Drosophila melanogaster: one gene and its partner. The protein of the gene in region 1 interacts with the protein of each later gene in a pairwise test. Each region holds a gene or a part of one and is shown in the gene's direction. Other genes may lie near its edges. The genes, in order: dnk and CG9933.

What was found.
Region 2: the proteins of dnk (region 1) and CG9933 interact in a two-hybrid assay, tested with the Drosophila melanogaster proteins (one large-scale study listed by BioGRID).

What each region holds. Positions count from the first base shown.
Region 1 is NT_033777.3:18,979,001-18,983,249, forward strand, and holds dnk (deoxyribonucleoside kinase), read left to right. Parts: upstream 1-1,994; 5' UTR 1,995-2,194; intron 2,195-2,256; exon of another isoform or gene 2,257-2,324; intron 2,325-2,423; exon of another isoform or gene 2,424-2,551; 5' UTR 2,552-2,571; coding exon 2,572-2,903; intron 2,904-2,979; coding exon 2,980-3,250; intron 3,251-3,307; coding exon 3,308-3,457; 3' UTR 3,458-3,749; downstream 3,750-4,249. Other genes in the region: Smu1 spliceosomal factor, read right to left, coding at 63-161, 224-1,302, 1,370-1,628, 1,685-1,751, 1,820-1,845; snRNP-U1-C (small ribonucleoprotein particle U1 subunit C), read right to left, coding at 4,103-4,249. UniProt on the Drosophila melanogaster protein: Deoxyribonucleoside kinase that has a broad specificity phosphorylating thymidine, 2'-deoxyriboadenosine, 2'-deoxyribocytidine and 2'-deoxyriboguanosine. Specificity is higher for pyrimidine nucleosides.
Region 2 is NT_033779.5:13,018,910-13,023,309, reverse strand, and holds CG9933 (uncharacterized protein), read left to right. Parts: upstream 1-1,997; 5' UTR 1,998-2,131; coding exon 2,132-3,079; intron 3,080-3,383; coding exon 3,384-3,512; intron 3,513-3,580; coding exon 3,581-3,634; 3' UTR 3,635-3,735; downstream 3,736-4,400.

The sequences.
Region 1 (4,249 bases):
GCAGCTCAAATAAGACCACCAACTAAAACTAACTAGGTGTGAAAGTCAATTGCTTATATGGTCTAAGGCTTCCAAAGCTTCAGCAGGCCGTCCTCACTGTAGCTGGCCAGTAGATTTTGATGCGGATGATGTGTCAGGCCAATGACGTCCTTTTCATGAACCTATGGAATAAATATCACGTTTAAAGTCAGTTTGAAAACAAATAGTTTAAAGAGCAGCTTACGTTCAAAGTACGTTCAAGTTTACCGGAGGAGACGGAGAAACAGTAAAGCACCTGATCCTCTCCAGCGCAGTATATGAACTCTCCTCGCGGCGAAAGAGTGGCTGAGATAAAGGCACCGCCCTCGCGCTTACCCGACGAGAAGGATCGCACAATCTGGCCCTGCATGTTCATAATGACAACCGTATTGGATCTGTTGCAGACAATGAAGTGTTCGGGATTCTTGGGCAGAATGAGGACTGTGTTTACGGCCAACTCGTTGCCAAGGGGCTTGTACGTGGCCACGCACTCGGTCGTTTTAAGGGACCAAACCTTTACTGTGCCGTCGGAAGATGCGCTGAGCACGCTGTGTCCGTCAGGCGTAAAGGTGGCTTCGTTCACAAAGGAGGAATGCCCCTTGAACTCCTTCAGCATCTTTCCCGACTTCAGCCCGTGCAGTCTCACCGTGTAGTCGAAGGATGCGCTGAGTACCTGGCTGTTATCTCGCGAGAACTGCAGACAGGTTATTCCCTTGGTGTGGGCTTTCTCGAATTTACGCAAACACTGACCGGTGATGATGCGCCACACCTTGATTTGGCCATCCTGTGCGCCCGATGCCACCATCTCGGAATCTCGTGAGAAGTTCAACGCCAGCACCGCCTGTTCCATCATCATGAACTGGTCCTGCGCCTGGTACTTCAGATCCTTTCTCACCTTGCCGGTGGTAAAGTTCCACACCTCAAGGAAACCGTCCACACTGCCCGTTATCAGATACTGACCATCCGGCGAGAACTGAGCGCACTCAACGTGCGACTTTTGGCCAAATTTGATTTGTCGGAACAGCTGGGTGGGATACATTTCTTCTTCCTGGTCCTTCATCGCCGCCTTGCCGCGGAACAAATCAATGGTGGTGCCGGGCGGAAGGAGTCCCTGGTGCTGTTGCCATTTAAGAGCCTGTCCCAGGAGTGCCAAGAGCCTGGAGGAGGGCACCACATGCACCTCGCCACTTAGCTCTTGGGCAATGACCGTGCGCCGCTTTTCCTTGCTACTTCCCTCTGCATAGGCTTCCCTGGGATCGAAGTAAGCGCGCTGCAGCATGTTTTCTACAGACAAATATACCAATTAGGAATCACGAACTCTAGTGAAACCTTAGAATGGCTTATATTTTACCCAAATGGATGTATCGTTCGGGCTCCTGCTGCTTCAACATGGTCATGGGATCCGTCTGGCGGAGCAGAGATCTTGCTGCGCCCAGTTCTCTGAGCTCGATCAGCTCCAAGACTATTTGCTCGTATAGATTGAGCAGCTTCTTATCCGGTAATTTGAGAGACTGGGTCACTTTTAGCACGGTGTCCCAGTGCCCGTTGGAGATATCCTGCACAAAGCCATCCACGCTGTCCACCGTATTCAGGGAGACACCCGTTTCCTCCTGAAAGTTTAAGATCATTGAAAGACAAACTCTCTCCGCGGTGTGTAAGTACTAACCTGTAACGTTTGCAGGGTCTTCATAAGGTTGGACTCCTTCAGATACTGCTGGATGAGCCGAATCACACTTTGTTTGGGGGGGAAATCACGGATCTAGTAAAAACTGAGTGGTGTTGGTCGATTTACAGTACTTACTCCGCTGATTCGATTTCTATGGACATCGTAAACTAATTTCCCGGTTTAAGATTCCTTTTAAAAATAAGTTTTAATACAGGTTTATAAAAATGTACAATAATATTGATAAAAAATGCGTCGTCGTAGGGATGGCGAAAAACAGATACTATGCACAGAACAGCTGACCGTTATCGTTATCGCCGACAGCTGATTCTCAGTATAGGCAAAAAGAAAATTCATTTCACAACGTTAAATAAAATAAATAAGAGGCCATAAAAGTTGTGAGCAATAAATGTTTAATTTTATTGCTATCAGTGGTATTTGTATTTAATAAATTTGTAAAAACAGCAATGTCCAGCAAGCACATGTGGCAGAAAAACATTATATCATTAATAGGTAATTCAACCAGCATTGGCTTAAACTTTAAGTTTTTGTAAAGATGTATGTAAAAACATTACCGGCAATAGAATAGACACACACACACACACACACACAGTTACCGATCAGCCGGTTGACAAAAACAAGCATAACGATAGGTAACACCGATTAAAAAAAAAAGAAACAAATGGCGATGTTCCCGCTCTTTTTGTTTTTCGGCGGTAAACGATCTGACCAGGCGGGTTGAATCAGTCACCATATTCCCGCCGCCGTGTACAGTACTCCATCGAATCCGGAACAATCAACTTCAACCGCGATCCGTTGCTGCTGTGCTGTACCTAAAACAGTTAGTAAAACTCCCAATCTCACGTGCAGATCGCCGATTATCCGGACTGATGGCGGAGGCAGCATCCTGTGCCCGAAAGGGGACCAAGTACGCCGAGGGCACCCAGCCCTTCACCGTCCTCATCGAGGGCAACATCGGCAGCGGGAAGACCACGTATTTGAACCACTTCGAGAAGTACAAGAACGACATTTGCCTGCTGACCGAGCCCGTCGAGAAGTGGCGCAACGTCAACGGGGTAAATCTGCTGGAGCTGATGTACAAAGATCCCAAGAAGTGGGCCATGCCCTTTCAGAGTTATGTCACGCTGACCATGCTGCAGTCGCACACCGCCCCAACCAACAAGAAGCTAAAAATAATGGAGCGCTCCATTTTTAGCGCTCGGTGAGTGCATTATTCCCGTCGTCCGGTTTGACCAGAAACGCTAAACGAAACTTATCCATTACCCATCGCGCCGCAGCTATTGCTTCGTGGAGAACATGCGACGAAACGGCTCGCTGGAGCAGGGCATGTACAATACGCTGGAGGAGTGGTACAAGTTCATCGAAGAGTCCATTCACGTGCAGGCGGACCTCATCATATATCTGCGCACCTCGCCGGAGGTGGCGTACGAACGCATCCGGCAGCGGGCTCGTTCTGAGGAGAGCTGCGTGCCGCTTAAGTACCTTCAGGAGCTGCATGAGTTGCACGAGGACTGGTTGATACACCAGAGACGACCGCAGTCGTGCAAGGTAGTTTCTACACAAGCTCACATCTACCGAAGCCGCTAAATATGCATTTTTCCTCAGGTCCTAGTCCTCGATGCCGATCTGAACCTGGAAAACATTGGCACCGAGTACCAGCGCTCGGAGAGCAGCATATTCGACGCCATCTCAAGTAACCAACAGCCCTCGCCGGTTCTGGTGTCGCCCAGCAAGCGCCAGAGGGTCGCCAGATAACCATTATCCCATTAGTACCTAATTGTGTGTAGTACAGACGTTTAAAATAATATTATAAGAGGCCTAGACGAGCCGATTCGCGGGACAAAGGCAGAAACTTACACTTCGAGCCAATGATTAACACATTCGTATATTAACAATTATAATCCACATTATATTCTCTTCACAGCAACTAGTATGTAAGCTCAAAATATTGTAATAAAAACTGTGAATGTTTATGTTAAAGGCAAGGCACCTACTATTTTTGTGTTAGCATTTCAGTTCACTTGCATTTTAACTATATTGTGTTGGACAATGAAATCATTAAATGCCTTCTCTAGCATTGATTTTTGTTATCTTTTTCTGAAGCGGGGTTTTTTAAAGTCATAATAATGTGTGCACCGTAAAAGCGGCGTGATCTTATGCCTGCTGAACTCTAATGTGACTGCATGCGCTTCTCATTACTGACCTAAATATATATACTTTATTTCTCTATTGACTTCCACCCACAAAGACAACCATTTGTTGAGTCAACTTGCTTTATATAAATGTATATAATTAATTGTTTTCGCTATCGGGCTTACTTAAATGCTACAGCTTAATTAGGACATCGCAAGGAGAGCACTCCATCTGTGCTGTGAACGTTGATGCCGTTCCTGAGGGCGTTCACTTGGGTCCGTTCATGATTCCTGGACGGACGCCGGGTATAGTGCCCAGTGGAGGCGGTGGTCCCATCATGGCCATGGGATTCATAATCGGTGGCGGACGCATGCCCATCATGGGGTTCATCAGTGGAGGCATATAGGGCATTCC
Region 2 (4,400 bases), on another chromosome or scaffold:
GTCGAACCTTTTATTTAATTTAATCCATAATTTATCCAACTAAGCTTATGGTTATTTTTCGATTTAAGTGAGTTTTGGTTTTGTTAATATTTTGTTGTTGCTTATGCTTTTCCATATTTTTTTTTGGGTATGCGTTAGTGGAGTTGGGGATTCGTTTTAGGCACCTGTTTTGGGATTTCTATTGTCACTAACACACACCCACTTATACACACCTAGTTGGAACATGTTCCTGCACTTTTACGTTTTTTCTAGAACCTAAGGTAATTAAGTAACGATAATTTATAAACAAAAAAGGAATGAAATACCATTATTCGAATACTTTGCAAATGGGATAAGCCGGAATTCTTAATGTAATTACTTGCTAGAACGGTGCAAAATGTAATTTAAACTAATCGTATTGTAACTTATCAAAGAGATAACTATAGAAGGCATTTTAATATAGAACCTATATATATATATTTACCATCGGCTTAATATATTAAATTGGAAAACCAACCCAATCCGAGCAAGATCCAAAAGCGTTTCAAGGAAATCAACTTTGTACAGGAGAAAAAGAGATAAATTCAAAATTATGTCTTGCTACAAATAATTCGTTTAATTTTTCGAATGGGAACTGTGATTATTGATAATTGTAAATGCAAAAAAAAAAAGAAATAAGAAAGTGAGCGCGTATATCATGCAATGAATATGGTACTATATACATACTATATAAATCTATACATATATATATATTTACACACAGCTGCTGCAAAAATAAAAACTATAGAAACAAAAAGAAACACATTTAAAATGCAATTGAAAAATCAACAGAGAATAGGGAATTTTTTGCAATATTTGCAATATTATTTTGTACAAGTGCAGCACACATTTAAAATTAGTTAATAGTAATTAGTTTCTACTACGGATTAGTTATGTTCTCATCATTAGTGCGAATGTTTTCCAGCAAACGGCGTCTTTGTAGCACAGTGTAGGCGTTAACACTACAAACAAAATGTTATCATTAAACTATAAGCAAACAAAAAGAACACATGTGGAATAGCGGGGCCATATTTAAATAGTTTAAACTTAATGCAAGGAAACATTTGAAAACAAAGCAAATCAAAACCAGAAGATATAGCGCAAACAAGCGATATGTATACAGAATCTAACTTGGATATAAATGCAAACCGCCTTTGATATGCATATATACATCTTATATCGATACGAATATCTATACACACAATATATTATATATTAAATAGTCCTTAACATTGAACTACATTTAAACTTAAAGCTAGTGTAAATAACTTAGTTTTGTTTACTGCGCACACAACCACACGCAACACTTACACACACCACACAAACACACAATAAGATTTACGGCATTGAATTACAAAAGAGAAAATGTACAAAAACAATTGTTAATAAAGAAATCAAATAAAAACAACACAAGTTGCATTTACAATTGACCGATTATCTGTATGTTTGGTACTTCTATTTAAAAAAGAAATCGAATAATTGGGTTCAGATCTAAACGCCAAAAGTAGTTTCTAAAAATTCAAATCATAATGCAAAATAGTTCATTGACTTCTATTAAATTGAAAGCACTTCAACATTTTTCTTTTTTCTTTACTGAAATCAAACATCAAAATCAAGCATTCTTTTTTAACGGAATTTTAATTTGAAAGGTAGCCTGCGTAACGGTATAGCGGTATATCAATTTAAAAGTGACTTTCAAGATACGGCAACTCTGTGAAACGATTGAATGTGGAACAAAAGATTATTTTACTCTTTTTCTTTTAATTAAAGAAAAAATAATAATAATCAAAAAGGGATATGCAATGCTATTCCAGATTACTCTTACTGAGATACTTAAATAATAACTCTCCAAATAATCAAAAGAGCCAAAGAAAATATAAAATCATATATACTATTTAGCTCCCTGTTGCAATTCCAATCGTTTCACAATCGCTGCCAAGTCAGCTACGCAAATTTGAGGGTATATTTCATAGTTGTCGGTACGGTAACACTGAGAAAGCCGTTTTGTTGAAAGATTACAAATGAATTGCGATGCATTTAGCTAAAATTGAACTTTAGCAGAGCCGCAAAACGATAGAGAGCCAACGCAGAGAACACGGAGCCACCCAAACACATGGATACCAAGTCCAATGATGACTCGGCTGGCAGTGACTCGCTGGACAAATCTATGCAAATCAAGTGTGTGATGGTGGAGACAACGACGACGGGCGACGGAGACTCCACAGTCGGAGATCTGGACAACTGCAGCAGGGATTCCGCTGCGGAATCGATTAACAAGGAATCCGGTTCGATGGAGGGAGCCGGCAAGCAGACGGATCACAAGACTGAAGCTGCGGCGGGGTCGTGCGGCGAGGGCGACAGTCCGCAGAGCAGTCAATCCCCACCAGAACATCCGGCCAGCAAATCGCCCACATCTCCATGCACTGCCTTCGAGACGAAAGTCAAGCTTATATCACAGAACCTCAAGGAAACCACGCTGGCGGAGAGCACCGGCGCCTCCGTATCAGCATCCACATCCACATCAACACCCACGTCCGCCTCTAGTAGCATCAGCGGCAGCATGCTGGAGTCGCAGCAGACACCCAGCCAGTCCACCCCCGAAACAACAGATTCCGCCTCGTCGTCCGTGCGCGTGAAGAAGGTACGCTTCCATCCGGACGTCAAGGAAAACGACGGCGGGAACTGGATGAAAAGAAAGCGACGCTCCATGCATACCAAACGAACCTCCTCGCCCAGCGGCGCTAACTGTGATGGCATGGAGCTGGACGGTGAGTACGAGGACAACGATGACGATGAGCAGGAGGAGGCGGAGGAGGAGTTCGATCTGGCCAAGACAATCGCCGAGGCGGAGGATTACCTCAAGCAGCACCCGTTGACATACGTGCAGCGCGTCGAACAGAACGGCGAGCGGCTGCAGGATGGACTGCTCAGCATCGAGGATATGCTAAACGAAGTCGGCGAGGAGGTGGTCACCGAGTACAACGACGAGGACTTCTTCAGACGCATCAAGCCCGAGAATGGCATTGAACGCATTCTGGGCAAGGAGACCAAGGCGGGAAAGGTACGTTTGCAATACGAAAGCAATAAACTATCAGTACGGTTTAGGGTTCACAAATTTTCTATGAATTCGATTACAGTTTCATTTACAACACATTGTTGGTTTATTCATATCATATTTAGTAAACAAAAATTCTAAGCTGGAAAAGGTTTGCTATATGACTTTTGCTTTTACAAAATAAATAAGCCAAAGATCAGCTTTCTTTACTTTGTAAAGCGAAGGAAAACTTTTAAACAGTCTGAATCTTATGTAGTTTGCCCTCTATCCCAATTGTAGGTATCATTTAATAACCTTAATATCCTTGCAGGTTGAATTCCTTCTGCGCTACGAGAACCAAGGCGGACTCTTCTGGCAATCGGAGGAGTTCATCAAGCGCACGTGCCCCTCGCTGCTCAAGGCCTACGAAATGAATCGAGAACGACGTCAGCAGCGCTTGGTTAGTCCTTATCCTAATTAAAACCACATATAATGCCAGTTTGTAATTCAAATGCTTGTGTTTTGCAGATGCATCACGTTGCCAAAAGGCAGAGTCTGCGACAGCGATACACGGATTTCTAGTAGCGGTTACTTAGGTATTAGGTTCATAATTAGGTTCCACATAATTGTAACATTTTTGTAAAATGAAGTAAATGATTTTCTTTTGTTGAACAAAAATAACTAAACAACACTTGCTTTTCATTATGTGTCATGAGGAATATAACCATTTTGGTAGGCCTAATTTTTGATTTCCCATCGTTAATCAGTTCGCACCTAGTAATTCAGCGATATTTAAATATTTTCAAACGACAAACAAACAATAGTTTCAGATATTTTCAAACTAGTTCTCTTAGAGCAAAAAGGATATATAAATTGGGTATAGATGCTTAGAGAACATTATTGCAATTAAAGGCAAAAACAAAAGTGCAAATTTAAAATTACAAATAGTATTCAAATGATTCACAACTTTTCGGATGTTTAACGAAATTTTAAATTCGATAATGAAATCATAAAAATATGAGGGCCCTGCAAGGGTTAAAGCAACTATCGGCGAACATTCCATCTTTAAGTGTGACCACGCCGCGGCCAGTGTGACTGTCGGCCACCAGACCAAACTGAAACACTGTTCGTCGACTGACGCGAAACCCAAAAATTATAAGTAATTCAATTGGAGGAAAGTTCGGAGGTCTGTATTTCTTGAGCCCATCGCCTGGCCAGTGAAGCATTTGTGTCGATATACGGATCGCATTCGGGCGATCCCCACATAGATATAGCCAGCCGAGGGCCGATAACCAATCCCCACGAAGCTCGCAGAACAAAAGAGAAATTTTTTGCGTGGTCACCACCA